Callithrix jacchus: one gene and its partners. The main gene of each other region encodes a partner of the protein of the gene in region 6 in a complex. Links are inferred from orthologs where the notes say so. Each region holds a gene or a part of one and is shown on either strand. Other genes may lie near its edges.

Region 1 (4,076 bases), on a different chromosome or scaffold from region 6:
CAAAGAGCAAGAACTGTGACTTCTCCACCCCATCCTCAATGTGTATGCTGGGTCCTAGAAATTCAAGCGTGAATAAGATGGAACGACTCCCGCCTCTGAGGATGCCCAGTCAGTGGGAGGGGGGGTGGACCCTCAGAGGGGTGCATACAACATACCCTAACACAGACTGACTGTGCCACACAGGGAGCCACAGTCTTAGTAACCGTTGGGTGGGGGGAGGGGTTTCAGGAGGGAATGTGTGCATTGGTCTTTTTAAGTTCCAGTAGTTTTAAGTTAGGGATCCTCTCCTCAAGAAAAAAAATCATACACACAGATGTGCCATATTTTGCATTCAATTTCAGGGGTTCCACGGACACACTGACACCCATGTGGAGCTCCTTAACAGTTCACACGTTTAAAAAACCCAATCCAGGGCCAGGCAGAGTGGCACACACCTGTAATCTCGGCACTTGGGAGGCCAAGGCGGGTGAATCGCTTGAGCTCAGGACCAGCCTGGACAACATAGTGAGACCCCCGCCCCCATATCTATAAAAAAATACACAAATTAGAGGGGCGTGGTAGCGTGCACTTGCAGTCCCAGCTACTGGGAAAGCTGAGGTGGGAGGATCACTTGAGCCCGGGAGGTCAAGGCTGCCGTGCACGGTGATGGCGCCACTGCACTCCAACCTGAGGAACAGAGTGAGATCCTATCTCAAGAGAAAAACAACCCGGGGGACGTGGGAAGGCAGCGTTCCCTGAGGATACTGGTTCTAGGGAGTCGGAAGCTGGGCTATGCAATTGGGGACCTCGGGAAAACAACACCCGTTGGAGCCACGACCCCAGGAGTCCAGGAAGCGAGCGCCCACTGTAGGAGGGAGGTGTCCACGGAGACCGTGAGGTAGTGAACACCACGTTGCCGGGGAAGTACAAGCGCAGGGAGGCCAAGGAGGAACTTCCAGCCTCGAAGACACTGGCTTAAGGTGTCTGAACACATTTGATAGTGTTCAGTAAAGTTATTTGCTGTTTGTGTGGTGGGTGGAGCAGGTCTAACTCCTTCCAGTTTTGGGATCCCATCTCCGGGGTTAATTCCGCGTCCCTTGAGGAGCGCATGCGCAACAGGACCACCTGCTCACAGAACCCACTGGACCCAAGACCGCGCGAATGCGCAGTGGAGCCCTGATCCTAGCCTTCCCATGAGCCTCTGGGGCAGGCTCCAAGGCGAGCGGCGGAAGCAGCCGCTCTTAGTTTCCCGCAACACGACAGCGGCTGCCGAGCGACCCGGAAGTGTTCCCATTTTGCGTTGTCTGGGCTCGGCAGCGGCCGGGCTTGGGGCTGACGCGCTACTATGGGGTCGTCCAAGAAGCACCGCGGAGAGAAAGAGGCGGCCGGGACGACGGCGGCGGCCGGGACCGGTGGGGCCACCGAGCAGCCGCCGCGGCACCGGGAGCACAAAAAACACAAGCACCGGAGTAGCGGCAGTGGCGGTAGCGGCGGCGAACGACGGAAGCGGAGCCGGGAACGTGGAGGCGAGCGCGGGAGTGGGCGGCGCGGGGCCGAAGCTGAGGCCCGGAGCAGCACGCACGGGCGGGAGCGCAGCCAGGCAGAGCCCTCAGAGCGGCGCGTGAAGCGGGAGAAGCGCGACGACGGCTATGAGGCCGGTGAGGAGGCGGGACCTGCTCAGGGGGCGGGGCGGGCAGGGGTCCCGGAGCGGGCGGGTCTGGGTGTGCGCGCAGTGGCTGCGAAGCTCTCCAGGCCGGGAAACCCCCAGACTGTCTACGTTAACTCCTATTAAATAGTTTTTCTACGGCACCTCTCGAGCCCAAGAGTTAGAGGCTGCAGTGAGCTGCAATCGCGCCAGTTGCACTCCAGTCTGGTCAAGAAAGCGAGACTGTCTCAAAAAAAAGTATTTTCTATGGTTGATTAGGATTAGAGATTGACTTTCTCCACCTAGCTCCTTGAGGACAGAGGGCTTCTGTTTTCCTCAGTTGTCTGGTACAATTACAGATCCTCAATAAATGTGTTGAATGAATGAATGAAGTAGTATCAGCGTATGCAGAGGCGAGAGAAACCTGGTATTGGAAGAATCGTGTAGGGCTCATGGTAGTGAAATGAGGGAGTAAGATAAAGATAGTTAGGGATGTGAACACAAAGGACCGTGTACCGTAGGTTCCGTTAAGAAATATAGATTGTCTTGAGGTTGGTAGGGAGCCATGGATGTGAGTTGAGGAGTGAGTTGCTCAGATCCATATTTTGTAAACATTGCTGGATTGAGAACTTAGTCAAAGGTAGTCAGGATTGGAGACCAGGAAATCAGGACTGCTAGAGACCACATGAGGGCCGATGGTAGCCTGCACCAATGCAGCAGCAGTGGGATGGAGAGAAGTGGACAGGTTGGAGAGGTGTTTTGGAGGAGGAATGAACAGAACTCAGCACTTGTATGAGACTGGGAAGGAAAAGGCATTGAGAATGATTCCTTGAATTTTGACTTGAGCAGCCAGATGAGTTGTGGGTGTCATCTCTACTGAAACTGAGGAGCAGAGAAGAGAAGCAGATTTGGAGGGGGATGGATAATTGGGGTTGTGGAGCTTGATGTGCATGTGAAAAGCCAGAGTTTGGACTGGATAAAGCCACTGGGAGTCAGTATCTGGGTGGCCAGTGAAGCTTGTAGGGCTGATGGCCCACAGGGTGTGCCTTATGCTGTGCTGAGGCGCAGGATCCAAGGAATAAAGAGACAGGACAGGCCGGGCACGGTGGCTCAAGCCTGTAATCCCAGCACTTTGGGAGGCCGAGGCGGGTGGATCCGGAGGTCAACAGATCGAGACCATCCTGGTCAACATGGTGAAACCCCGTCTCTACTAAAAATACAAAAAATTAGCTGGGCATGGTGGCGCATGCCTGTAATCCCAGCTACTCGGGAGGCTGAGGCAGGAGAATTGCCTGAACCCAGGAGGCGGAGGTTGCGGTGAGCTGAGATCGCGCCATTGCACTCCAGCCTGGGTAACAGGAGCGAAACTCCGTCTCAAAAAAATAAAAAAGAGACAGGACACAGAAGTACAGGGAAAATGCAGCTGGGCTCGAGGGGCCACGCCCCTATGAGTGGAGTCAGGTGAGGCCCCAAATGTCCAGAAGCGTGAGTGTTTGTTGTGTTTAGGTTAGGGGGCAGGGCAGTGAGTGAAGTCATCTTTAAGGATAGTGATAGGGTCGTGAGCAATAAAACAAGGGGTCCACCCCATTAGGTCACCTAGGCTGGGAGGTGGACAGTGTGCAGCAAGGCGTCCATTCCCATTAGGTCATCAAGGCAAGGGCCGTGTGCAGTAAGGGGTCCACCCCCATTAGGTCACTGAGGTATGGAGGTGGGCCATGTGCAGTGAAGAGGGTGCAGTGTGCAATACCTCTATCTATGGGTAAGCTACTAAGAAGATTTATAGGAGGATGCTTTAAGTCACATAGCAGTGACAGAGCTGTCAGGGTCTATGCCACCTGCTGGCAGCTTCCAATAAGTTCTATAGAGGAATGCTTTTCGAGCAGCACAGTAACAAGAGCTGATAAAGTTCACAGTCACCAAGGTGTGATTGCCGGTCTGAGGGCAGCCTTCCACAGGAACTGGTGCAAGGTCCTACAACTCCTTTATCAGGAGGAGTGGCTCTTGCCCCAAGCCTGCCATACAGCGGGTATCTATAATACTGAATGCTGCTGCCTAGGCCATGGATTCTTGCCCTGGTATAACATTTTTCCCTTAAATCATGCGGTGCTCTGTGTCTGCTCTAGGCATTCCTCCGATTATAAGCTGCTTATTCCTTAATTCATGCTCTGTACTGTATCTACTCTAGGCATTCCTCTGATTATAAACTTAGATATAGTTTTAATATATATGAAAATAACTGAGTGGTAAGATATTCTTTAGGCACTCATTCTATGAACTAATGTGTGATCATATAGAGAGGATTGTACAAAGGGAAATAACTGAGTAGTAACACTGTAAACAGATACTCTCCAAGCCCTAATTCTATAAACTAATATATAATCATATAAAGGATTATATAAAAAGAAATAACTGAGTAGTAACACTATAAACTGAGGTATTCTCCAGGGCTTAA
Region 2 (4,227 bases), on a different chromosome or scaffold from region 6:
GGACACATGACTACCCGTGTGTCCTAAAGGGTGCTGTGTTCAGAAAGTGCCCGGAGAGCCATCCAGGGGCCCCAGGTTGGCCATCTGGTCATCAGGAGAGCCAGGCTCCCCCTTGGGAGGGCAAGGCTGCATTTCTCTGGCTAGGAGAGCTGACCACAGGACCACAGGAGTGGGAAGACATGATTTCTTTCTTTTTTTTTTTTGAGACGAGTCTCACTTTGTCGCCCAGGCTGGAGTGCAATGACGCGATCTCAGCTCACTGCAACCTCCGCCTTCCGGGTTCAAGCAATTCTCCTGTCTTAGCCTCCCGAGTAGCTGGGATTACAGGCTCATGCCGCCATGTCCGGCTAAATTTTTGTATTTTTAGTAGAGACGGGTTTCACCGTATTCCCCAGGCTGGTCTTGAACTCCTGAGCTCAGGCAATCCACCCGCCTCGGCCTCTCAAAGCGCTAGGATCACAGGCGTGTGCCACCGTGCCCAGCCCGAAAGCAGGATTCCTTTTTTTTTTTTTTTTGAGGTTGCCCAGGCTGGAGTGCAGTGGCGCAATCTCGGCTCACCGCATGCAACCTCCGCCTCCCGGGTGCTTGCAATTCTCCTGCCTCAGCCTCCCGAGTAGCTGGGACTAGAGGCGTATGCCGCCACGCCCGGCTAATTTTTTTGTAGTTTAGGAGAGACGAGGTTTCTTTTCTTTTCTTTTTTCTTTTGAGACGGAGTTTCGCTCTTGTTACCCAGGCTGGAGTGCAGTGGCGCGATCTTGGCTCACCGCAACCTCCGCCTCCTGGGTTCAAGCAATTCTCCCGCCTCAGCCTCCCGAGTAGCTGGGACTACAGCCGCGCACCACCATGCCCAGCTAATTTTTTGTGTATTTTTAGTAGAGACGGGGTTTCACCATGTTGACCAGGATGGTCTCGATCTCTTGACCTCGTGATCCACCCGCCTCGGCCTCCCAAAGTGCTGGGATTACAGGCGTGAGCCACGGCGCCCGGCCGAAGGCAGGATTTCTAGCGACACGGTAGGGGCGCAGAACCCTTCCCTGGGGGAAGGGTTACTCGAACCCAGGACAGGAAGACAAGAAAGCAATCCAGTGGCTCTGCTCAGACTTTGCTCCTAAATCCTGACACTGAGCGACCCTTTAAGTAGATGCGCTCCACTTTTTCTCCAGAGCCTCTACGGCTCAATGAGAGAATCAAAGCTACTTCCGGCCATTTCTCACGCCGGGTTAGAGTCTAGGAATTCTTAAGTCTCCTCTTTTCGCCACTTTCCTCCCACGCGACTGACGTCACTTCTGGCGTAAGAAAGGGTGGAGGTGTCTTCCCTCGCTCATCGCGTACTTCCGCCCGCTCTTCCAGTTGGTCCTCTGGCCGGAGTGAAGCCACTTCCGGCCTCCCCGGCGCATTCCTCAGTCCTCTTCCGGGTGATGGCGGCCGGGTGCCCCGGATGTAGCCCTGGCGCAAGCATCTCTTCTTTGCCGCCTCACCTCCAGCGGATCCCCAGGTGAGCGCGCGAGCGTGGGACCATCCGAATCCCCGTGGCCCTCTACTTTGTACGCAGCCCGGGACAGGTGGAGCTCACCACACGGAATTGGGAGTTCGGAGCAGGGAGGAACGGGGCGGCGAGGGCGCCAGGTCCTGGGTCCGCCCGGGCCCCGCGAGCTCCGAGAGAGCCTGGGTAGGAGGCGGGGGTCAGCCCGTCGAGCCTGGTGGTACCCAGACTGCGGGGGCTGGGTTTGGAGGTGGTCACATGGTGGAGCCTGTCTCCTTTTGGCCGGGGTCGGGGGATCCAGAGGGATTGCCCCTCCGTCCCCGCCCCATTTAATTCGAGGATGCCAGACCGAGTACCAGAGGCCTTCTGGCTTCCAGCTCCCTTTCCGCCCCTGCTTTTGTGCTCCCTTCCCTCTCAAACTGTACTTGTCACCAAGAAAAATGTTTGCTGTGCCGGGAATCCTCTGGCGGCGAGTCCCCTCCTCACCCCGTTCTCTTCCTCTGCATACTTTCCTCAGCTTGAGGAACACCTTCTCTGCCCTGTCATGCCAAAGAGGAAAGTGACCTTCCAAGGCGTGGGAGATGAAGAGGACGAGGATGATATCAGTGTCCCCAAGAAGAAGGTGAGGGGACCAAACTTCTTTGTGTGGGGGGAAAGAGAGGAGCTAGAAGCCTGAGGAGGAAGAAAGTTGGGAGGGGCAAGGCGGGCTGGCAGAGAAAAGCCTAGTTTTTCCAGGTTCACTGAGGAATGGATTGGGAGCATCTTCAGTGTGGGTCCTGAAATATTTGGGGAAGTAGGGCTGGGCACGGTGGCCCACGCTTGTAATCCCAGCACTTTGGAAGGCCAAGGCAGGCAGATCACCTGAGGTCGGGAGTTGAAGACCAGCCTGGCTAACCTGGTGAAACCCCATTTCTACTAAAAGTACTAAAAATTAGCCGGGTGGTGGTGGGCACCTGTCCCAATTAGTTGGGAGGCTGATGTGGGGGAATCCCTTGAACACAGGAGCCGGAGGTTGCAGTGAGCTGAGATCAGCCATTGCACTCCAGCTTGGGCAACAAGAGTGAACTCTGTCTCAAAGAAAAAAAAAAAAAGAAATATCTAGGGAAGCAGTTGAGATCCTGAAATATTTGGGGAGTATTTGGGTCCAGATCTGGCAGTATTTGGGGAGGTAGCCAGTAACCTGCATTTCTTGACTTCCTGGCTCCTGCTCACAGCTGGTGGACCCTGTGGCTGGGTCAGGGGGTCCTGGGAGCCGCTTCAAAGGCAAACACTCTTTGGACAGCGATGAGGAGGATGATGACGATGGGGGGTCCAGCAAATATGACATCTTGTCCTCAGAGGATGTAGAAGGTGAGCTGTACTCAAGAATACACTCTACTGAAGGAAAAAGTAGAGACCTCTGGTGGTGTGAGGTGAGGGAGGCCCCGGTCTCTTTTTTTTCATCCCCAGCAAAGGACACCCCTGTCTTTGGTGCAGGTCAGGAGGCAGCCACACTCCCCAGCGAGGGGGGTGTGCGGATCACACCTTTTAACCTGCAGGAGGAGATGGAGGAAGGCCATTTCGATGCCGATGGCAACTACTTCCTGAACCGGGATGCTCAGATCCGAGACAGCTGGCTGGACAACATTGACTGGGTGTGGCCAAGGGGCTGGCATGGCTGGGGCCAGGGAGTGGCAGAGCTGCTGCCTGCTCCCGTGGCAGTTTGTGGGAAATCACTCCCCTTCTTCCCATTACAGGTGAAGATCCGGGAGCGGCCACCTGGCCAGCGCCAGACCTCAGACTCGGAGGAGGAGGATGGCTTGGGCCAGACCCCAATGAGTGCCCAAGCTCTCTTGGAGGGACTTTTGGAGCTCCTGTTGCCTAGAGAAACAGTGGCTGGGGCACTGAGGCGTCTGGGGGCCCGAGGAGGAGGCAAAGGGAGCAGCAAGGGGCCCGGACGACCCAATTCCCCACAGCGCCTGGACCGGCTCTCTGGGTTGGCCGACCAGATGGTGGCCCGGGGCAACCTTGGCGTGTACCAGGAAACTCGGGAACGGTTGGCCATGAGGCTGAAGGGTTTGGGGTGCCAGACCCTGGGACCCCACAATCCCACACCCCCACCCTCCCTGGACATGTTTGCTGAGGAAGTGGCGGAGGGGGAACTGGAGACCCCAACCCCTACCCAGAAAGGAGGTGAGCTTGGAGGACACAGGAGGAGGCACTGGGCAGGAGGCAGACACTGGAGGCCAAATGGCTTTGCCTGTTATTTTAGAAGCAGAGTCGCCGGGAGATGGTCTGGTGGATGTGATGTGGGAATATAAGTGGGAGAACACAGGGGATGCCGAGCTGTATGGACCCTTCACCAGCGCCCAGATGCAGGTGAGCCGCTTTCTTCCTCCTTCTGCCTTGTCCCTGCTTCCCCAACTCCTGTCAGTCCTTCCCCAGCTCTGCCCTCTCCTTGCAGACCTGGGTGAGCGAAGGCTACTTCCCGGACGGTGTTTATTGCCGGAAGTTGGACCCCCCTGGTGGTCAGTTCTACAACTCCAAACGCATTGACTTTGACCTCTATACCTGAGCCTGCTGGGGGCCCAGTTTGGTGGGCCCTTCTTTCCTGGACTTTGTGGAGGAGACCCCCAAGTGTCTCAGGCAGTGAGGAAATTGGAGGCCATTTTTCAGTCAATTTCCCTTTTCCAATAAAAGCCTTTAGTTGTGTATTAGGGCCTTCGCTGTGCTGATGGCCGGAAGCCAGAGGTCTTCTCCACAGC
Region 3 (4,074 bases), on a different chromosome or scaffold from region 6:
AAAAAGTGCCAAGTGTGATGGGAGCGGCCCCATCACCTGGCTCAGGGAAGATCACAAGAAAATTCAGAAAAGAGAATTCCTTTCTCTGCGCTTTCTTGGAACACCTGGAGTCTGGTTCTCAGGTTTAGACCCATGAGGACTAAATCCAGTGGCTCCTAATTCCAGAAGCTTTCCAGGACTGCCCTCCCCGGCTGCTAACCCAGGTCACTCCTAGTCCTACCCTGACCACAGGGAACTGGAAGTGTGTATCCCATGAGGCCTTGTCCATTCTTTTTGTTTTCCCCTGAGACGGAGTTTCACTCTTGTTGCCCAGGCTGGAGTGCAGTGGCACAATCTAGGCTCACTGCAACCTCCACCTCCTGGGTTTAAGTGATTCTCCTACCTCAGTCTCCCAAGTAGCTGGGATTACAAGCATGTAATCCCACCACTCCAGGCTAATTTTGTATTTTTAGTAGAGACGGGGTGTCTCCATGTTGGCCGACCTCAGGTGATCCACCCACCTCGGCATCCCAAAGTGCTAGGATTACAGGCATGAGCCACTCCACCTGGCCCGCCTCGTCCATTCTTGGCCACTCCTCCAGGAAACGCCTGGATAGCCAGGACTTGGGGACTCTGGATGTTCAGAAGGTGGGGACGGGCTGAATGAATGAGTTCTAACTTTGCCCACGCACCGTTCTACACAGTGGGAATAATAGAGGGAAGAAAAATGAAGATCCTGCTTCCATAAAACTTGTCACAGGATGGACCCTTCCAACTCTGCCCTCGGGGACACAGCAGGAGGGGCCGGCTCCCTTCTCTGAATTGTTGCACTTGAAACCGCCTTCGCAACAACTGTACCTGAGGAAATTATGACAGCAAAAAGAGATCAGACCTAAGCAACTCCATCTTGCTTGTAACCTTTAAGCTGTCCTTGCTCTTTCCTGGGCATAGGCCGAACTAACCTTGGGAAGAAATTCAGTCTATAGTTTGACTCTGAGACAAGATTGGTAATAGCTTTTTCCAGAAAACACCCTCTTCTTACCTGGGGACCAGTCAGCCTTTGGAGGACTGACAAGCTGCAAGATTAGAAATTATCGTTTAGGGGTCACGAAGCCTCTGGCTCAAGAGTCTGAACCTCCCCAAATTGCTCCTGGGGATAACATCACTATTATAAAAATCTAAGATCAGTGCTTGAGATATTTTTGCAGACCCTGTACTAGGTGGATCCGCTGACACCACCCAGACGAGTAATGTGGCTCAACCAGTCCCGCAATCCCACCCACGGACAGAATCCCACCCAGGAACAGAAGACAGCAAGAAAATCTCACTTCGACCTCCTCAGGACTCCATCTCCAACCTCAGGAAGCTCCAGCCAATCAGCACCCCCCACTTCCTGAGCCCCTACCGACCAAATCATCTTAAAAACTCGGATCCCCTAGGCTGGGTACAGTGGCTCACCCTGTAATCCCAGAACTTTCAGGAGGCTGAGGTGGGTGGATCACCTGAGTTCAGGAGTTCCAGACCAGCCTGGCCAACATGGTGAAACCCTGTCTCTACTAAAAATACAAAAAAATTGGTCGGACATGGTGTGGTTGACGCCTGTAATCCCAGCTACTCAGGAGGCTGAGGCAGGAGAAAAGCTTGAACTCGGGAGGCAGAGGTTGCAGTGAGCCAAGATTGTGCCACTGCACTCCAGCCTGGGCAACAAGAGTGAAACTCCAGTCTCCTGCAGAGCTGGCTCTGTGTGAATTGCTTTCTCCATTGCAATTCCCCTGTCTTGATAAATCGGCTCTGTCTAGGAAGCAGGCTAAGTGAACCCACTGGGTGGTTACACACTGACCCCAGGATTTAGGGAGCATCTCTTACTAATCCTCAGCTCTGATGCAGCCACCCCTGTGGGTCCCTCCTGGTTACTAAATCTCCCACTGTCTCACAGAGTCTGGAAGTCACATCCCCAACAAAGGCCTAGATTTCTCTCCCTGAAAAAAGAAGCGCCAGATGCTGATGGGCCAGGAAATTCCCAGCTCCGACTTCGTTTTCCGATCTGCACATTGAGGACACGGGCACTTTCTGGCCCAGATCCAGAACTTCCATAATCACAAACATCTGGCCCTGCAGAGACCTGGGCCTCAGTTTTTCCTTCTGTGTATTGGGAGGATGCACTTTATCCACTCCTGCTCAAAATGCCCCCTTCCCCTGGAATGACATGCTATGTGACCCAAGGAGAAAGACCACACCCCAGCACCAGGCCCGATTTTCAGACAGAAAACAACAGGCCTAGGACGCTGTGCTGCGAGCATTTTATGCATCTTGCAAGCTCTGAAATTCCTAAAGCTAAGTTTCACAACTCAGACTGGCCCCCTACTTCCCAGCACTCTAATTTTCAATCTGGGAGGTCTGACCGGGCCCGAAGCGTTCGGGGCCCCTTCCCTGCCCAAAAACTTGCATTTGGCGGGCCCCCACCTTTTTTGACCTCAGTTTCCCCACCTGAGGGGAAAAAATGGGAAAAACTAAGTAAAGCGAGCCCGCTGTACTACGGATACAAGCCCGTGCAACCCTAAATCTCAGACACAGACGTCCTAGAGCCATCTGCAGTCTCCAGCCTCAGTTTCCCAGCCTCGTGCCGGGAGACGGAACGCGAGGCTCTGACTCTACGTTCACCCCGCGCCAACCCAACCGTCAGCGCCCGCCCGGAGGGCTCCCAACGCCTGCGGCTCCCGCCTCCCGATGAGACCCCGCCGTTGCCCTGCCCTCACCATGGTGCCGGCGGGGACCGGGCTCGCCGGCCACTTCCGCCACCGCCGCTGCACACGCTCCCGGCGGTCGTCGCAGCGCCGCGCGCCACTAGGCTGAAAGAAAGTGGCAGACACGCGAGCCAGTCAGCACTGGGCTCGAAGGGCGGCCAACCAATCCACGCGGAACACGGCGGGGCCCTCTGGGCGAAAGGGGCGGGCGGGCCGCGTTCCCGCCGGAGGAACGAGGAATAGAGCCGTAAAGTGTCGCGACTTGTAATGCAAAAGGGGGCGGAGCAACGCGCCCAGGCGCGGGGTGTTTTGTGGGTAAGCGCATGCGCAGGTGAAGCCGTCGGTCTCGGGCTCCACGCTGTGGGCAAAGCCAGTTAATGCCTTTCGTTTGCAGTCTTAGAGACAGCGAGGTCTCGTGGTGATTGGGACGTCCCTCAGGTCGCCCTTCGGACTCCTAGTTTTCTAATTCTGTAATTATCCAGGAACATCATTTAGTGGGTTGGAATCCTGACCACGCCCCTCGGAGCCTCAGTTTGCTGTAAAATGGGTTATAATAGTAGTGTCTGCTCCAAAAGGTTGCTTGCTGTGAGGATGAAATGAGTGAAACTATGTAAAAAGCACTTAAAACAGCGCCTGGCGATCGGGCGCGATGGCTCACGCCTGTAATCCCAGCACTTTGGGAGACCGAGGCGGGTGGATCACGAGGTCAAGAGATCGAGACCATCCTGGTCAACAAGGTGAAACCCCGTCTCTACTGAAAATACAAAAAAAATTAGCTGGGCATGGTGGCGCGTGCCTGTAATCTCAACTACTTGGGAGGCTGAGGCAGGAGAATTGCCTGAACCCAGGAGACGGAGGTTGCCGTGAGCCGAGATCGGCCATTGCACTCCAGCCTGGGTAACAAGAGCGAAACTCCGTCTCAAAAAAAACAAAAAACAAAAAAATAAAATTAGCCGGCAGTGGTGTAATCCCAGAATCGCTTGAACCCAGGAGGCAAAGGATCACGCCATTGTACTCCAGCCTGAACCCAGGAGGCAAAGGATCACGCCATTGTACTCCAGCCTGAGCAACTAGCGAAACTCTGTCTCAAAACAAACAAAAACAGGTCTGGCGCATATTAAGTACTTAACAATATACTTTGTGCCTGCTTCTGCTCACAGAAATGAACAAAACACAAAATTCGTGGCTCTCAGGGAGACAGTAAACAAAGTAAATAGGCAAATGCTGTTGTTTCCTGGGGCTGTAACAAACGCCTGCAAACTGAGAGGTTTAAAACAACAGAACGTGATTTTCTCACAGTTCAGGAGACCAGATTCTGAACTGAGGCTGTCAGTGGAGCTGGCTCGCTCCG
Region 4 (4,097 bases), on a different chromosome or scaffold from region 6:
GGCCAATAAGGTGGGTATCTGGCAAGGAAACAAGTGGTAGGAGAAACAGGAGAGGTAGCAAGAGCCAAAACATGTAGCATCTTGCAGGCCAGGTTAAGCCAACTGGATTTTAAGCTAAGAGCAATGGGAAGCCAAGGAGAGTTTAAAATAGGAACACGGCATGATTAAAAAAAGAAAAAAAAGATTATTTGGGTTGCTGGATGGAGAACTGGGAGGCCAATAAAGAGGAAACTGCAGTCACTCAACTGAAAGGTGATGGTGGCTTGGACAGGGGCCATGGCCATGGAAATGAAGTGGACAAATTTAAGATACAGTCCGAGGCTGAACTGACTGGATTTGCTGATGGACTGATGTGTGCACATAAGAAAAAGGCAGGCTTTGCTTTATAACAAGTACTGAGACTGGAAAAACGGAGGAAAGGATAGATTTAAAGGGGAAAACCATGAGCTCCGCTTTGCCTGTGACAAACATAAGAAGCCTATCCGATATTCACGTGGGGAAGTCAGGTGGGATCCCACTGTGGAACTCCGGGTGAGACTCCGCTTAAGTGACCATTCGGGAGTCACCACACTGCATCACTCTACGTCCTGGTCCGTCTGTCTGCCTTCCTGGGACCCAAATAACTGCCTTCTCCACTTTCAGCCCTGAGCATCTGCGCTGTATCCTCTGGGCAACCCGGAGCGGAAAAACGCTACGCATGAGCTTGGGTCGGGCGAGGCTCCCGAGGAATCGCTCTGCGTGCGGAGGACAAAGGGACAGGGACAGAGCGGAGGGCCGGACGCGGCCTGCCGAGCTGCTCCCGCGGCCGCCGTCACGTCCCCGCGGCGTGGAAGACGCGCAGTAAACTGCATCCTGTCTCCACGTCTGGCCTCCCACCCCAGCCTCCCGGCCTCCTCCGCCCTGCTGCGGCGTCTCCCGCTAAGCCCGCTGGGCCTCGCTCTCACCCTCCTCCTCCTCCTCACGCCGGGCCTTGCTCTTGCCCTTGGACTTCTGGCTGCGCGGTTGGCGTCCCCGCGGCTCCCCGCCGGCCGCGCGCTTCCGAGCCATGTTGTTCTTCGGGGCAAAATCCACTTCGTGAGTGACGCACCTGGCCGCTGTGCACCAGAGCGCGGGCTCCGCCCACAGGCGGGCGCGTCTAGCCCTGTCCCTTAGTTGGAGGCCTAGCCACGCCCCCGAAGGAAGCTCCGGCGATACCCGTGGCCACCAAAAACCACAGGAAGCAGGAAGGAGAAAAACAGATTTCTCTCTACTTCCGGTGTATTATATCCTCCTGTTTCCGGAGATCCGCGTTGCTCTTGTGTTCTCGCGAGAAGCGGGAAAGAGCGCAGGGTTTGAAACATGGCGGACGACGTAGACCAGGTGAGTGTACTTTAAGGGGGTCGCTTCGAGCAGCTTCGCGTACTAGGGCTGGTTTTCCCAAACTTAGGAAAAATGGCCAGTCGTGTCTCCTCCTTCCAGGTCACCATGGTCCAATCCGCCCCGTCCTTTCCGTAACCGCCCCCTGCTCCGAATTTTGCTGCAGGCCCTGAGATCTTTTCCGGTTAGAAGCCCACCTGACTACTATTCATCACACTCTTCAATTCATTTTTTTAAATCTGTAAATTATTATCCTTGCCTGCCTCACGGAGCTGTTAGGATTCCAATAGAAAGCCTGATGATGAAGTTAGAAGTTCATATCATTACTGAGCGCAACCATTATTTATTCATTTAGCATATTTAGTGAAATTCAGCTTTGTATGGTTAGACACTATTCTAAGGGCCAGGGACACTGACATCGACATAGAAGTGATCCCTGCCATTACTTGGAGCTTATATTCGTGAGGAGAACAGATAAAAGTAAATATAAATATGTAGGAGACATAGGAACTGTGATGTGATGTGAAGGAAACAAGGAACTAGTTTGCAGAATAACAGATGGCCCTAGAAGCTTTTTCACCTTGTCTTTCTCTTCCTCAAATATCTTTGGAGATCAAGCCACAAATTCTTAAGCTTTCTACTGAAATCTCACCTCCTCAGAGAGGACTTCTCCTGCGCCAGTAGCACACGCTTTACTCTTCTTACCCTGCTTCATTTTTCTTCAGAGCGCATTATTATTTCGTATTAAATATATGCATCTGTTTTTAATGTATAACCCTTCCCACTAGAATTTAAGTGCCATAAGAGCAGGTTTTTTGTTTTGTTCTTTCTTCTGTCCTTAGGGTTTAGAACAGTGCTGGAAACACTCAACAAATATTTACTTAATGAGGCCTCTTTGAAAAGTCAATATTTAAAGCTACAGTGGGCATCGTAGACAGAGGCTTAGGTAGCAGTAGGGTTCTGTCGTGTGCATATTTTGACAGTATTTAATTATTTATTTGTATGCCTCTCCACATTACAATGAGCTCCTTGAGAGTGGAGATTGTGACTTCTATATCGTTATAATCTAACAGTTGGTTATCTGATCCTTTAACAAACACCTGTTGAACTAGGGAAGTAGGGATCAGTCGAGTCAGGGTTTTGTTTTTTCTCTCATCTGACCTTTTGAAGCTTTAGAGCCTGTTGCATTCAGTCACCTTCCTCCACTGGCCTCATGTACTTAATGAAGATCTACTTGAATAGTCTTTCTCTTAATGGCTGCAACCATTCGACCCCAAGTCATCCTAGCCCTGACCTCTAAAACCGACGTTTCCAGCAGTTCTTTAATAATACTAATAGGAACCATTTCTTTTCTTTTTCCTTTTTTTTTTTTTTGGACAGAATCTCACTCTGTCATCCAGGCTGGAGTGCAGTGGCACAATAGATCTCAGCTCACAGCAACTTCCACCTCCTCAAGCGATTCTCCTATCTCAGCCTCCCGAGTAGTTGGGACTACAGGCGCGTGCCACCATGCCTGGCTAATTTTTCTGGTTTTTTTTTTTTTTTTTTTTTTTTTTTGAGACGGAGTTTCGCTCTTGTTACCCAGGCTGGAGTGCAATGGCGCGATCTCAGCTCACCGCAACCTCCGCCTCCTGGGATCAGGCAATTCTCCTGCCTCAGCCTCCCGAGTAGCTGGGAATACAGGCACGCGCCACCATGCCTGTAAGTTTTTGTATTTTTAGTAGAGACGGGGTTTCACCATGTTGACCAGAATGGTCTCAATCTCTTGACCTCGTGATCCACCCGCCTCGGCCTCCCAAAGTGCTGGGATTACAGGCGTGAGCCACCGCTCCCGGCCAATTTTTCTGTTTTTAGTAGAGATGGGGTTTCGCCATGTTGGCCAGGCTGGTCTCAACTCCTGACCTCAGGTGATCCGCCTGTCTCAGCCTCCCAAAGTACTGGGATTCAGGCGTGAGCCACCATGCCCAGCCAGTAGGAACCGTTTATTACTATTTTCTGTTTACCTGGCACTGTTGTAAATACATTAACTACTTTAAACTTCTCAAGAACCCAGAAGGAAGGTTGTGGCCTCCTCAATTACAAATGAAGAATCAGAATTACAGATGGCATGATTTTTAATCTTAGTTCATTAGAGTCAGGTCACAGCCAGGAGTTGAACCCAGACTGCCTGACTCCAAAACCAGTGCTTTCTTTTTTCAAGACAGAGTCTCACTCTGTTGCCAAAGCTGGAGTGCAGTAGCACGATCTTGGCTCACTGCAACCTCCGACTCCTAGGCTCAAGCCATCCTCCCCCCTCAGCCTCTGAATAGCTGGGACCACAGGCATGTGCCACTGTGCCTGGCTAAGCCAGTGCTTTCAACCAGCGTTTTATACTGTCTACTAAATATATTCATCTTACTGGCCAGTTGGCAGCCTAAACTCAACCTGTGCTAAATTCATAATCTTCCCATTAACCTACACCTCTACTTAGCATTCTGACTAGTGTATGGTAGACATTGAGTGAGTGTTTTTCCAACGATTACATAATATTTGAGATAAAGCTAAAGTCCCTGAGAGCCCATACCCTGAAATTGGGTCAGGCAGTTTGATTTTGAGGGAACAAAGAATAGTCATGATTATTTTGCTGTGTAACTCCTTTTTGTGTATGTGTGTTTTAACCTACATTTATGTAGCACATATTATATGAAAGGCACTGTTCTAAGCCGTCATAGATATCACTTAAGCCTCACAACAACAGTATT
Region 5 (3,500 bases), on a different chromosome or scaffold from region 6:
GAATATGAGAATTCCATGTGAGCAGCACTGTGGTGATGGTGGGGGAGGTGGGTTCTTAATATGTAACCAAATGAACCGAAGCATGGCAGAAGAAATGTGGTGAGGGAGACCAGAGACAGATTATGAGACTTAGGGAACCCAACAGAACCAAACAAATTGTTGATCCTCTAGGTCTAAAATGTCTCCAAAATGAGTAGAAATGTTGTTTGTCCAACATAGCTTCGAAACCTTTCATGCCACACAGAGCTTCATCTTCAAGCAGTCATAACTCTATGTCTGCTCTAGCTCCATATCCATGTTTTATGCATGAAACACAAGAAGACATCCTCCATAGCTACATCATTTTTTTTTTCTTTTTTTTTTTTTTTTTTTTTAAGATGGAGTCTCACTCTTGTTGCCCAGGCTGGAGTGCATGGTGCAACCTCCGTCTCCCAGGTTCAAGTGATTCTCCTGCCTCAGCCTCCCAAGTAGCTGGGATTACAGGCATGCTCCACAACGCCCAGCTAACTTTGTATTTTTAGAAGAGATGGGTTTCTCCATGTTGGTCAGACTGGTCTCAAACTCCTGACCTCAAGTAATCCATCCACCTTGGCCTCCCAAAGTGCTGGGATTACAGCTGTGAGCCACCGTGCCTGGCCAGCTACATCATCTTTTTTTTTTTAAAGATGAAACCAACAGGGTTTCACCATGTTGGTCAGGCTGGTTTTGAACTCCTAACCTCAGGTGTTATCGCCGGCCTTGGCCTCCAAAGTGCTTGGATTACAGGCGTGAGCCACCGAGCCTGGCCCAGCTACATCATTTTTTACTTTGCATCCAGTAATCCTTACCTGTCGGCTGAGCCAGCTGCTATTTTACTTCCATCAGGTGACCAAGAACATCTCAGAAGGTTCTATGATAAATAAGAATCCACTGAATAGTAATATACCAAACTCCTCTTTGCAAGGCTACAGAATCACTGAGAGGCTTTAAATTTCCTAAGTAGAGTTTTAATTGTTTTTCTCAGGAAGATCGTTATCTTATATTCTATGGCCTCCAATAGCATACTTTGTTATTTTACACCGTATAAAAACTGTAGAAAATGTTTAACTTACAATTAATTATATTGAACCTGGCAACAAAATTTTGTTCTACTTATAAATAGAGGCTCCCTTTATCTTGATATTCATTATTCTTTTTTCCTATTTATCTTGAATAAAAGCAAACCCAACAAATAATTTTTTTTTTTTTTTGAGACTGGGTCTTGCTCTATTGTACAGGTTGGAGTGCAGTGGCACAATCATAGCTCACTTAAGTTTTGACCTCCTGGGCCCAAGTGATACTCCCACTTCAGCCTCCCAGACAGCTGAGACTACAGGCACATGCCATCACAAGCAGATTTTTTATTTTTTGTAGAGACAGGGTCTCATTACGTTGTCCTGGCTGGTCTCTAACTCCTGGCCTCCTGCCTTGGCTTTCCAAAGTACTGGGATTACAACTGTGAGCCACCATGCCAGGTCTAAAAAATAAAATTTGATTTGTACAGTGAAACTGAATCCCAATGAGCTCTCAAAAGGAAAACGTTAATTTCTATTAACAAATTCTCTGAGAGTAAAAGCTTCTTTCAATAGAGCTGACCTTTAAATTTGAGGGTCTGAAAAAATTCTGTCTCTCAGAACTTGGGCTGTGGTAGGTACTGAGGGGAGAGATGTATTCTTAGGGTTCAAACATACCTGGTCATGGGGTAGGGAGGCAGGTGAGGGAGACCTTCTTAACAGCTATGGGAGCTTGGGTTCCATATGGAAAACTGATTTAAGAGGGTAGAATTCCCAAGTAATTAAAAGGCCAAGAGTGTCGTGTTGAAGGTGGTGTGAAGTCAGATGCCCTCAGTTTGAGAGCTGGCTCCATTACTTTTGAGCTATGTGACTGGCTTCTTCCCAATCATGAATATTTCTATTAGTTTTATTTTTGGCAGCAACAGTTTTGATTAAGAGCAGTGTTACTGGAATGAAGTCCATTCTCAGCAGAGCTACTGCTCTCTATCCTTAGTATCACCTGAAATGTTTCTTTGAATTAAATGAACAGTAAAACTCCCCTGCCATGCAGAACTCACCTTTTCAAAGTTGTGCACATTTCCTTGAAATATCTTTACACACCTCTCTTTGGGGGCAAATGGCCGGACATCCCAGACACGAACTGCAAAACAAATCCAAATAAACAAACCAACCAAAATAACTAACAGCCAGAGACCTCCTGAGCACCCAAATGAAATTAGTATCATGTTTATGACAGATGCTGTTTCCAGGATGGGGAAGTCCAGTATGACACACTGCTACCTGTTAAGCCTCTTTTCTTTTTCAAGCAGGAAAATACATCTAAATTCCAATAACTGGGGCTAGCTGAGGAGGCAGGAAGGAAGAATGTCACTCACAACGCTGGTAATTTGCAACAGAATGCAGCTGGCTGTGATACTAATTTCAAAGATATTTTGCAAAAGAGTCCTCTGCCAGCTTAGAGTCACATCCAGCAAAGCTTCAATAAGACAAACTAAATACCATGAACTACTATGATAATGAACTTATCAAAACCAAATTTATATTGCCCTTTCCTAATTTCCCTCATATGGGCACCTGACAGTCTCAAACTGAACAAGGTCAAATATATATAAAATATATAAAAAGTCGCTGGGCTCAGTGGCTCATGCCTGTAATCTTAGCACTTTGGGAGGCTGAGGCAGGTGGATCACCTGAGGTCAGGAGTTCAAGACCAGCCTGACCAATATGGAGAAATCCCGTGTCTACCAGAAATACAAAATTAGCCAGGCGTGTTAGCTCATGCCTATAATCCCAGCTACTTGGGAGGATGAGGCAGAAGAATCGCTTGAACCTGGGAGGCAGAGTTTGCGGTCAGCAATATTTTGCCATTGTACTCCAGCCTCGGTAACAAGAGCAAAACTCCATCTAAAAACAAAACAAAACAAAACAAAGTCAAACAAATCAAGAGTATTACACCATACCAAAAATCAGAAAAAGTAAATACTGATTCTAAGTCTAGCTCTGTTGGATATCTGGGTGACATCAGGTAAACAGTGAGACTGTTTGTGTCTTGGTTTTCTTGCTCTGTAAAATGAAGAGAAAATTACCCGTTCTTTTTAAAATAATACTATTTTATTTATTTTTATTTTTTTTTGAGATGGGGTCTTACTCCGTCACCCAGGCTGGAGTGCAGCTACACGATCTCAGCTCACTGCAACCTCCGCCTCCAGGGTTCAGGCAATTTTCCTGCCTCAGACTCCCAGGTAGCTGGGACTAGAGGCATGTGCCACCATACCCAGTTAATTTTTGAATTTTTTAGTAGAAATGGGGTTTCACATATTGGACAGGCTGGGTCTCAAACTCCTGATCTTGTGATCTGCCCACCTTGGCCTCCCAAAGTGCTGGGATTACAAGCGTGAGCCACTGCGCCCAGCCTATTTATTTTTGAGATGGAGTTTCACTCTTGTTGCTCAGGCTGGAGTGGGTGGC
Region 6 (3,999 bases):
AGCTCCTCTCAGGAGCAGCATCTCCATCTGGCACTCACTTCCTGCTGTCCCTTAATGGCTGGTGGTCATAGAACCAGTCCAACACAGGGGCATCCTCCTCGGGGTCCAGCTCCAGCTGAATGGCCTCCAAGGGCTCAACATCTAGGATGTTGTCAGCATAGTCCAAGGGCGGCTCCTCATCATCAAAAGGGGGAAAACGCATCCTCTTGAAATGCCTCCTATCTCTCTTTTCTCGACGCATCATAATCCACATTGACCTGAAGGCAAGAACGTCACATAACCATTCACCCACTGCCTCCCAGCCACCGCCACCACCGCACACCCTAGTTCAGTCTTCTCACCCCCACTGGGAGATGTAGACAGGTTCGATGACCCAGGGAATCTCATTGACGAAAGAAATGGCTCCAGTGATGTGGTACAGCACAGGCACGTCCCGGATCTGCTCCCAAGGCATAGGCATGTTCTCCAGAAGCTTGAGGACCGCATGGGGCATGTACTTCAGGGCACTGCCGTATCAGAAAAAGACAAGGCTATCAGAAATGACATGGTATTCTGCTGCCTGTCCCCTGCAGAGAAGCCACGAGTTCATGTTCCGCAGTAAATGCTACCTTACAATCCAAATGCCCAAGCTTAGCATACAGGCTCTTCATAACCAGAAACCCTGCCTCTGCCTTTCCAACTTCATCTGGTTAACACTCTTCTTAAACTTCACAGTCCTGCAATGCTGGTCTCAGCTCCCCTAAATCAACGGCTGTCCCTCCGAAGACAGCTTTGAGGCTGTCTCAAATTCTATTCTCTCCGCATCTTCTCACAAGAATAAAAAAACATTCACCATGCTTCACTATAACTAGTTGTCACCTGTCTGTCATGCCACTAGACCACACACTGCACAAAGGCGGAGACTGGTACTGTCTACTCACTCCTAGATCCCCAGCACCCAGCACAGTTCTCAAAAAAAAAGTACTTTTTTTTTTAAATAAACAAATCTTCCAGTTAATTACACAGTAAACATTTTTGTGTCCAAATAGAACAAGGATCTATTAAGACATCTGTACCTGTACTCATCCAGTTTAGAGCCTCAGAAAATCAGGAGTAGGGATACCTCTGAAGTTAAATACCCCGAACACAGAATTCAGGTCCCTGAGTAGTGTCTGGCGGCCACTGTACATAGTATCCCACTCTGGGCTTCAGCCAGTTCAATGACAGGAGTGTTTTACAACAGCAATAACAGGACAAATGAAAGCACCAGGCCCAAATCAGGAAGAGAAGGGAGAAAGACTGCATAAGTGGAAGATGCAGAAATTATCAGAGAATCCTACTGGTTTTCTCCTTTCTCATATCCACCAAGATGAGTTGTCAAAGCAGAGTCCTACTCCAAATGACAGCACATCTATCCAAGGATGCAAACTGGGACAGGGAGAAGGCAAAAGGGCCAAACTCCAAGTGAAATTGTTTCAAGGTGTTCCTTACCCCAAGTAAACCCTTTTGTCATGGCGGAACTTCCTGTTGGTCATGTCTCCATGGTCTCGAATGATCTTCCTGACATGTTCTGGGGGCATGTCTTCCTTCTGGGCATCCACAAACCCAAACTTCCGCTTTTCTGCATAGCGCTTGGCCTGCAATTGCTGCCATTTTCGAGCTACAAAGGCACCTCAGTTTAAAGGACTGCACACCCTCAACCTAATCATCTTCACCCCTTGCCCTAAGGTAAGTTTCTGTCAGTGTATGTGAGGGAGAAGCAGGCATCCGGCAGGAAGAAGCACTCCTTGCCAATTCCCTTACCATTTTACTCTATTTCTCCCTTCATCACATTTATCACTAGCTGACACTATTTATTTATCTTGAGAAGTTGTTTTGCTCTGTTGCCCAGGCTGGAGTACAGTGGCAGGATGTCACTCACTGCAACCTCCCCCTGCCAGGTTCAAGCGATTGTTGTGCCTCAGCCTCCGGAGTAGCTGGCATTACAGACACGCGCCACCACAGCTGGCTGATTTTTGTGGTTTTGGTAGAGACGGGGTTTCGCCATGTTGACCAGGCTGGTCTCGAACTCGTGACCTCAGGTGATCCACCCACCTCGGCCTCCCAAAGTGCTGGGATTAGAGGAGTCAGCCACCGCACCCGGCCTAACATTTTTATAACAGATCTTCAAGGTCTTTTCATTCTCTCTCCCTCTCTCCCGCAGGATAATTGTCTCCCACAGACAATAATTTGAACCCCAGGACAGGAATTTTGTCTCCATCACTATTGTATCCCCGCTGGATCAACGCCTGCAAATAACACGCGCTTAAAATGACTTGACTAGATAAAAAATTCAAAGGGGCATCTAGGGAGCTGACACCTAATGAGCTGCCCAAACGCGGGGGGGAGTCCCACCCCGCCTGGGAGCGCACCCTGCCCGCGCCCCGCTCTAGTCTCGCCTCACCTTTCTCCTGCAGTTTCTCCTCCGACATGTAGTCCGGCAGCGGGGCGAGTGGGCCGGGCACCGGGTTACCCGGCCCTCGGTAAGGAAATACTCCAGCCATCCCGGAGAATCTGCGGAGCGGCGGGAGAGAAAAATTAAGGAGCAACAGGCCCGGGCCCACAAGAAACGCCGCAAAAACGCGCCCGGGACCCCCGGCCTACACTCCCGCCATACTACGAGTGCATCCACTCCGGCCCGGCCTATCCCCTCCGGTCACCCCGCCCGACCCGACCGCGCCTCCCGCAGCCCGGCCTTAAACGCCTGCCACGCACCCCACAGCCCCTCACACAGGGGAACGCTTTCCCCACAGCGCAATGGCGGCCAGCCTGCGTCCGCTCCGCGATCCCAGCGCTAGGAAGTGCGCAACCCCAGTTCAGCAGTTGATCCAATCGGCGCCGAGATGCTCAGATGGATTAGTGAGATGACCAGTTAGAGTTTATATACTGCGCCGAGGGGGCGGGCTTACAGGCGGAAAAGCTTGAACGCAAGGGGGTGCGGTCGGAGTGAAGCCCCGCCTCCTGCGTTTGCCAGGCTGTTTCTGGCGCCCGGCAGCCCTCAGTGTGTGTGATAGGCTTCTGGCGTCGGACTGCGAGAGACCAAAGTCCACAGGATTTTAATAACTGTGCCAAGACTGCACACTGCACGATGTCTGTTTTCATAAATGTGGACATGAAATGCAGTGCTAGCTCCAGGACAGTCATTTGTTCATGCGTTCATTCATTCAACCATTCTTTATTGAGTGCCCCCTGTGTACCAAGGGCTGGACACAGCAGGGAAAAAGACAACCAGTGGCGTTCACGGGGGAGCAGAAAGGCAGACAGGAACCAAGACTTCACCCGGGCGCTGTGGCTCACGCCTGTCCTCCTAGCACTTTGGGAGACTGAGGCGGGTGGATCATTTGAAACCGGGAGTTCGAGGCCGGGGGCGGTGGTTCACGCCTGTAATCCCAGCACTTTAAGAGGCCAAGGAGGGAGGATCACCTGAGGTCAGGAGTTCGAGACCAGTCCGACCAACATGGAGAAACCGTCTCTAAAAAATAATAAGTAAATAAATAAATAGGGCCGGGCGCGGTGGCTCACACCTATAATCCCAGCACTTTGGGAGGCTGAGGTGGGTGGATCACGAGGTTAAGATATTGAGATCATCCTGGTCAACATGGTGAAACCCCTATCTACTAAAAATACAAAAATTAGCTGGGCATGGTGGTGCGTGCCTGTAGTCCCAGCTACTCGGGAGGCTGAGGCAGGAGAATTGCTTGAACCCAGAAGGCGGAGGTTGTGGTGAGCCGAGATCGTGCCATTGCATTCTGGTCTGGGCAACAACAGCAAAACTCCGTCTCAAAATAAATAAATAAATAAAATAAAATAAAAAGAGATCAGGAGTTGAGACCACCCTGGTCAATATGGCAAAACCCTGTCTCTACCAAAAATATAAAAATTCGCCGGGCGCGATGGCTCACGCCTGTAATCCCAGCACTTTGGGAAGCCGAGGTGGGCAGATCACGAGGTCAAGAGACTGAGACCATCCTGGCCAACATG
Region 7 (4,268 bases), on a different chromosome or scaffold from region 6:
CAAAGGGAAGAAACCAGCTTAAAAAGGCTGAGAATACCCAAAATCAGAACACCTCTTCCTCTACAGGAGATTACAGTTTCTCATCAGCAACAGAACAAGCCCTGATGGAAAAGGACTGTGTGCCATTAACAGAAGTAGGCTTCAGAAGGTGGATGATAAGAAACTTCTGGGAGTTAAAAGAACTTGTTCTAACCCAATGTAAAGAAACTAAAAACTTTGAAAAAAGGTTTGACGAAATGCTAACAAGAATAGACAATATACAGAGGAATATAAATGAAGTAACGGAGTTAAAAAATACAACACGAAAACTTAGCGAAATATGCACAAGTTTGAATAGCTGAATTGATCAAGCAGAAGAAAGGATATCAGAGGTCAAAGACCTACTTAATGAAATAAAATGAGAAGACAAGAATAGAGAAAAAAGGATAAAAAGGAAGAGTAAAGTCTCCAAGAAATATGGGACTATGTGAAAAGACCTAATCTACGTTTGATAGATGTACCTGAATACGACGAAGAGAATGAATCCAAGCTGGAAAATATTCTTCAGGATATTATTCAGGAAAACTTTCCCAATCTAGCAAAGCAGGACAATATTCAACCCCAGGTAATACAGAGAACACCACAAAGATATTCCTCAAGAAGAGCAACCCCAAGGCACATAATTGTTAGATTCACCAAGGTTGAAACAAAGACGAAAATACTAAGGGCAGCCAGAGAGAAAGGTCAGGTCACCCACAAAGGGAAGCCTATTAGACTTACAGCAGATTTCTCAGCAGAAACCCTACAAGCCAGAAGAGAGTGGGGGCCTATATTCAACATCCTTAAAGAACAGAACTTTCAGCCCAGAATTTCATATTCTGAGAAACTAAGCTTCACAATTGAAGGAAAAATAAAATCTTTTTTGAACAAGCAAGTACTCAGAGATTTTATTACCATCAGGCCTGCTTTACAAGAGCTTCTGAAAGAAGCATTATACATAGAAAGGGACAACCAGTATTAGCCTTTCTAAAAATATACCAAAAAAGTAAAGAGCATCAACATAAAGAAGAATTTACATCAACGAATGGATAAAATAGCCAGTTAACATCAAATGGCAGTAACCCTAAATTTAAGTCGACTAAATCCCCCAATCAAAAGATACAGCCAAAACCTAATGGTATGCTACATCCAGACCCATTTCACATCCAAAGATACACAAAGACTCAAAACAAAGGGATGGAGAAAGATTTACCAACCAAATGGAGAGCAAAAATAAATAAATAAATAAAAAGCAGGAGTTGCAATTCTCACGTCTGATAAAATAGATTTCAAAGCAACAAAGATATAGTGGTAAAAGGATCAATGTAACAATAACAGCTAACGATCCTAACACCCAGATACATAAGACCTATAAAGAGATTTAGACTCAACGAGACAGAAAATTGATGAGGGCAGCCAGGACTTGAACACAGATCTGGAACAAGTAAACTTAATCAATATTTATAGAGCTCTCCATTTTAAATACACAAAATATACATTCTTCACTTTAAATACACAAAATATTGACCAGCCATTATTAATACCCATTTTTTAGAATAAAGCAATATTCCTGTTTTCTCTCCCTTTTTTTCTTCCTCTTTCTTCTTCTCCTTCACTCCTTTTTTCTCTTTCTTTTCTTCTTTAAAAATAAAAATAAAGTAAATAAAATAAAGAGACTACAGAACTAAAAAAAAAAAATCCTGGGTTTTTGACACTTTTCTATCAGGAATGCTGCCAATTATGATTTTTGGGCAGGATATTTTGTTTCTAAGGTCTATTTCTTCATTTCTAAAATGAAAACTGAATGACTACTAAATTAATCTGTGTTGGACCATTTTCAAGCATGTTAAAAAACTGTCTTCCAGGACAGTCTTCTTTAATTAAAAAAGCAAACAAACTATATAATCAGTGTCACAAGATACCAATAATGCCCACATGATTAAAAGCATTCGGTATTTAATTTGTCATCCAGTTTGTACATGAGCACAATGTCGTGCTTCTGTCCTGAGACTTTAAAACGGTAACACTTGCAAAGTCTATTTTAAGACTTCCCATGCGGTTTTTTGTTACTTACTGCTCACTACAATCCAATACAACAGCAAGCATTTTTTTCATTCTACCAATAAGTTGAGACTTCAAGTGGTAAAGGGACTGAAACCTGGTCTGTGAACCATCGTTAAACTTTTTGCTATCCTCAAACTAATGAGCAAATTATATGAATAAAACAAGACAAAGATTTTTAAAACTGCTGTCGCCGCCCGGACGACTGTTCATCTTATTTATAAACCTGAACACGTAAGTCTTATGGAAATAGTAAAGAATCAAGAACGTATTTTTTTTTTTTTTTTTTTTCAAGAGAGAAAAGTTCGGAATAATCACACTGGGTTTTTATCCGGCTTTTGCAGGCGACAAGGAAAGGACCCCTGGGCCCGCAGCAGCTGCAGGCTCCAGCAGCCGCCGGTAAACTATGGGTCGTTCCGGGGTCCTCTTCCCCTCGCCCGCCCCCAAGATCCCGCCGCGGTCGGGTCTCCCAACCTCCCACCGATCCTGACTGGCTGTGTCTCCGTAACCCCGGCTCACGCCCGCGGCGGCAACCTTGAGGATACGGTTGATGTAGTTCTCCAAGGCGGACGTCATGCTGCTCTGCCCGGCAGTTCCGGGTAACACACCGGTGCCGGCGGCAGGCGGAACTGAATGGGCGCGCTAGAACCCTGCTGTGGCCTGCGCTTGCCGGGCCGCAGCAATGTCGCGAGACCTGCTGCCGCGCAGCTGCCCCCGAATCGGAAATTGTAATGAACTGGCCAATCAAACAGAAGCCGCACAGCGGCGAAGATAGAGCGCGCGTACGCAGTGTGTTTTCGCTGTAGTTCCGGGCCGTGTTCCGGAAACCGCGCGAGACAAAAGTGACCTAGAGGCAGACAAAAGCGAGCGAGAGACGGAAAAGGAAGAAGCTTCCTGAAGGTGGCGTAAGAGTGAGGGTGAGAGGGTGCGTTTTCTTTCAGTGTGGTGGAAGTTAATAAGTAAGACTGCTGAGACGAGGCAGAGCAGACAGGAAGAAACGGGATAAGGTGTTTTTATTAGGAGTGAAGGAGGAGAAGAGACAAGTACTGTTGTGTGAAATGCAGGTGCGGGTAGGGGAATCTCTAGTTTTCTGCAGCAGGAGATGAAAATAACACTAAAAATAAGTCCAGTTGCCCGGGACAAAGTTGCGCACGTTATAACGGCACAGTGTAAATCATCAATGAAAAGCACGTTCGTATGTTCTGCTTTTGTTTCTAAAAGCACTCCCAAATAGAGGTGCTGTTACTTTTTAAAGAAACTAAATGCAAATAGACAAAGGTGTGTGATCATTCCTTAGAAAATGAATATCCACGCTTCTACCATGCCACGATGGTCTACCCTTCCCTAGGGTTAAATTAGTAAGTAAAAGGCTCCTGCAGCACCGAGAAAGGACTGATGCAGAAAAGTACCAAACTTGGTTCTTATCTTGGCTCTGCTAGCAAATTGGTGTCATTGCACGAGTCACATCAACTCTTTTGGGCCTCAGTTTCCCTAGATGCTGCTATAGGTGCCGTTTAAGATATTTCCAGACATGATACTAGAAAATGCCACTGTGCCTATACGTTATTTACTGTGGTGCCCTAACATGAGAGAGCTGGAAGTTAGAAAAAGGTTTATACATAAAACACCAGCAGGAGTGATTTCTTTTTTTTACAAAATATCTTTATGATTTCAGTTAAACTTGTGATTTCTTAAGAATTGTGGTTTTGGAATCACTCTTGCAACCTCAGCAGTTTTCCTCGGAAAAGGAAGCATTTCTTAATTAGAGCATACCCACAAAATACCTGCAAGATGACTACCAAATAGTTAATATTTTATATTCTGGAACTTATTCCGATCTGTTTGAAATCAAGTGTAGTCAGGAATTGGATTGTGAATGTCTCATATTCTCAGGGTAACAAATGAAACTGGCTTCCATAAGTGACAGAATGGAGATAATTGTGTGATTTGCAAATGTTAGGGGTTGAACCAAAACCCATAAACTAATTAATGATTAACTAGGTATTAGTAAGGAGTTTTGTTAAAAAAAAAAGAAAAAGAAAAAAAAAGAAATTGCTGCTCATGGTGGTACACCTGTAATCCCAGCTATTCGGGAGGCTAAGGCAGAAGAATGGCTTTAACCCGGGAGGCGGAGGTTGCTGCGACTCACACCATTGCACTCCAGCCTGGGTGACAAGAGTGAAACTACA

Evidence for each region.
Region 1: PRPF8 (region 6) and SART1 share a complex: the UniProt entries of both Homo sapiens proteins name them as parts of the U4/U6-U5 tri-snRNP complex. The link is inferred for Callithrix jacchus from reciprocal best matches to the Homo sapiens genes PRPF8 and SART1.
Region 2: PRPF8 (region 6) and CD2BP2 share a complex: the UniProt entries of both Homo sapiens proteins name them as parts of the U5 snRNP complex. The link is inferred for Callithrix jacchus from reciprocal best matches to the Homo sapiens genes PRPF8 and CD2BP2.
Region 3: PRPF8 (region 6) and LSM4 share a complex: the UniProt entries of both Homo sapiens proteins name them as parts of the U4/U6-U5 tri-snRNP complex. The link is inferred for Callithrix jacchus from reciprocal best matches to the Homo sapiens genes PRPF8 and LSM4.
Region 4: PRPF8 (region 6) and LSM3 share a complex: the UniProt entries of both Homo sapiens proteins name them as parts of the U4/U6-U5 tri-snRNP complex. The link is inferred for Callithrix jacchus from reciprocal best matches to the Homo sapiens genes PRPF8 and LSM3.
Region 5: PRPF8 (region 6) and SNRNP40 share a complex: the UniProt entries of both Homo sapiens proteins name them as parts of the U4/U6-U5 tri-snRNP complex. The link is inferred for Callithrix jacchus from reciprocal best matches to the Homo sapiens genes PRPF8 and SNRNP40.
Region 7: PRPF8 (region 6) and LSM8 share a complex: the UniProt entries of both Homo sapiens proteins name them as parts of the U4/U6-U5 tri-snRNP complex. The link is inferred for Callithrix jacchus from reciprocal best matches to the Homo sapiens genes PRPF8 and LSM8.

What each region holds. Positions count from the first base shown.
Region 1 is NC_133511.1:123,038,013-123,042,088, forward strand, and holds the start of SART1 (U4/U6.U5 tri-snRNP-associated protein 1), read left to right. Parts: upstream 1-1,276; 5' UTR 1,277-1,324; coding exon 1,325-1,637; intron 1,638-4,076. UniProt on the Homo sapiens protein: Plays a role in mRNA splicing as a component of the U4/U6-U5 tri-snRNP, one of the building blocks of the spliceosome. May also bind to DNA.
Region 2 is NC_133513.1:29,873,078-29,877,304, reverse strand, and holds the start of CD2BP2 (CD2 antigen cytoplasmic tail-binding protein 2), read left to right. Parts: upstream 1-1,427; 5' UTR 1,428-1,562; exon of another isoform or gene 1,563-1,669; intron 1,670-2,000; 5' UTR 2,001-2,027; coding exon 2,028-2,105; intron 2,106-2,697; coding exon 2,698-2,833; intron 2,834-2,959; coding exon 2,960-3,117; intron 3,118-3,219; coding exon 3,220-3,655; intron 3,656-3,734; coding exon 3,735-3,841; intron 3,842-3,926; coding exon 3,927-4,037; 3' UTR 4,038-4,227. UniProt on the Homo sapiens protein: Involved in pre-mRNA splicing as component of the U5 snRNP complex that is involved in spliceosome assembly.
Region 3 is NC_133523.1:17,038,834-17,042,907, forward strand, and holds the start of LSM4 (U6 snRNA-associated Sm-like protein LSm4), read right to left. Parts: upstream 2,801-4,074; 5' UTR 2,739-2,800; coding exon 2,736-2,738; intron 1-2,735. UniProt on the Homo sapiens protein: Plays a role in pre-mRNA splicing as component of the U4/U6-U5 tri-snRNP complex that is involved in spliceosome assembly, and as component of the precatalytic spliceosome (spliceosome B complex).
Region 4 is NC_133516.1:71,157,652-71,161,748, forward strand, and holds the start of LSM3 (U6 snRNA-associated Sm-like protein LSm3), read left to right. Parts: upstream 1-1,297; 5' UTR 1,298-1,338; coding exon 1,339-1,359; intron 1,360-4,097. Other genes in the region: XPC (DNA repair protein complementing XP-C cells), read right to left, coding at 945-1,047. UniProt on the Homo sapiens protein: Plays a role in pre-mRNA splicing as component of the U4/U6-U5 tri-snRNP complex that is involved in spliceosome assembly, and as component of the precatalytic spliceosome (spliceosome B complex).
Region 5 is NC_133508.1:67,899,181-67,902,680, forward strand, and holds part of SNRNP40 (U5 small nuclear ribonucleoprotein 40 kDa protein), read right to left. Parts: intron 2,173-3,500; coding exon 2,090-2,172; intron 890-2,089; coding exon 828-889; intron 1-827. UniProt on the Homo sapiens protein: Required for pre-mRNA splicing as component of the activated spliceosome. Component of the U5 small nuclear ribonucleoprotein (snRNP) complex and the U4/U6-U5 tri-snRNP complex, building blocks of the spliceosome.
Region 6 is NC_133506.1:66,551,899-66,555,897, reverse strand, and holds the start of PRPF8 (pre-mRNA-processing-splicing factor 8), read right to left. Parts: upstream 2,801-3,999; 5' UTR 2,734-2,800; intron 2,533-2,733; 5' UTR 2,523-2,532; coding exon 2,423-2,522; intron 1,640-2,422; coding exon 1,471-1,639; intron 507-1,470; coding exon 342-506; intron 258-341; coding exon 39-257; intron 1-38. UniProt on the Homo sapiens protein: Plays a role in pre-mRNA splicing as core component of precatalytic, catalytic and postcatalytic spliceosomal complexes, both of the predominant U2-type spliceosome and the minor U12-type spliceosome.
Region 7 is NC_133512.1:88,800,361-88,804,628, reverse strand, and holds the start of LSM8 (LSM8 homolog, U6 small nuclear RNA associated), read right to left. Parts: upstream 2,801-4,268; 5' UTR 2,656-2,800; coding exon 2,625-2,655; intron 1-2,624. UniProt on the Homo sapiens protein: Plays a role in pre-mRNA splicing as component of the U4/U6-U5 tri-snRNP complex that is involved in spliceosome assembly, and as component of the precatalytic spliceosome (spliceosome B complex).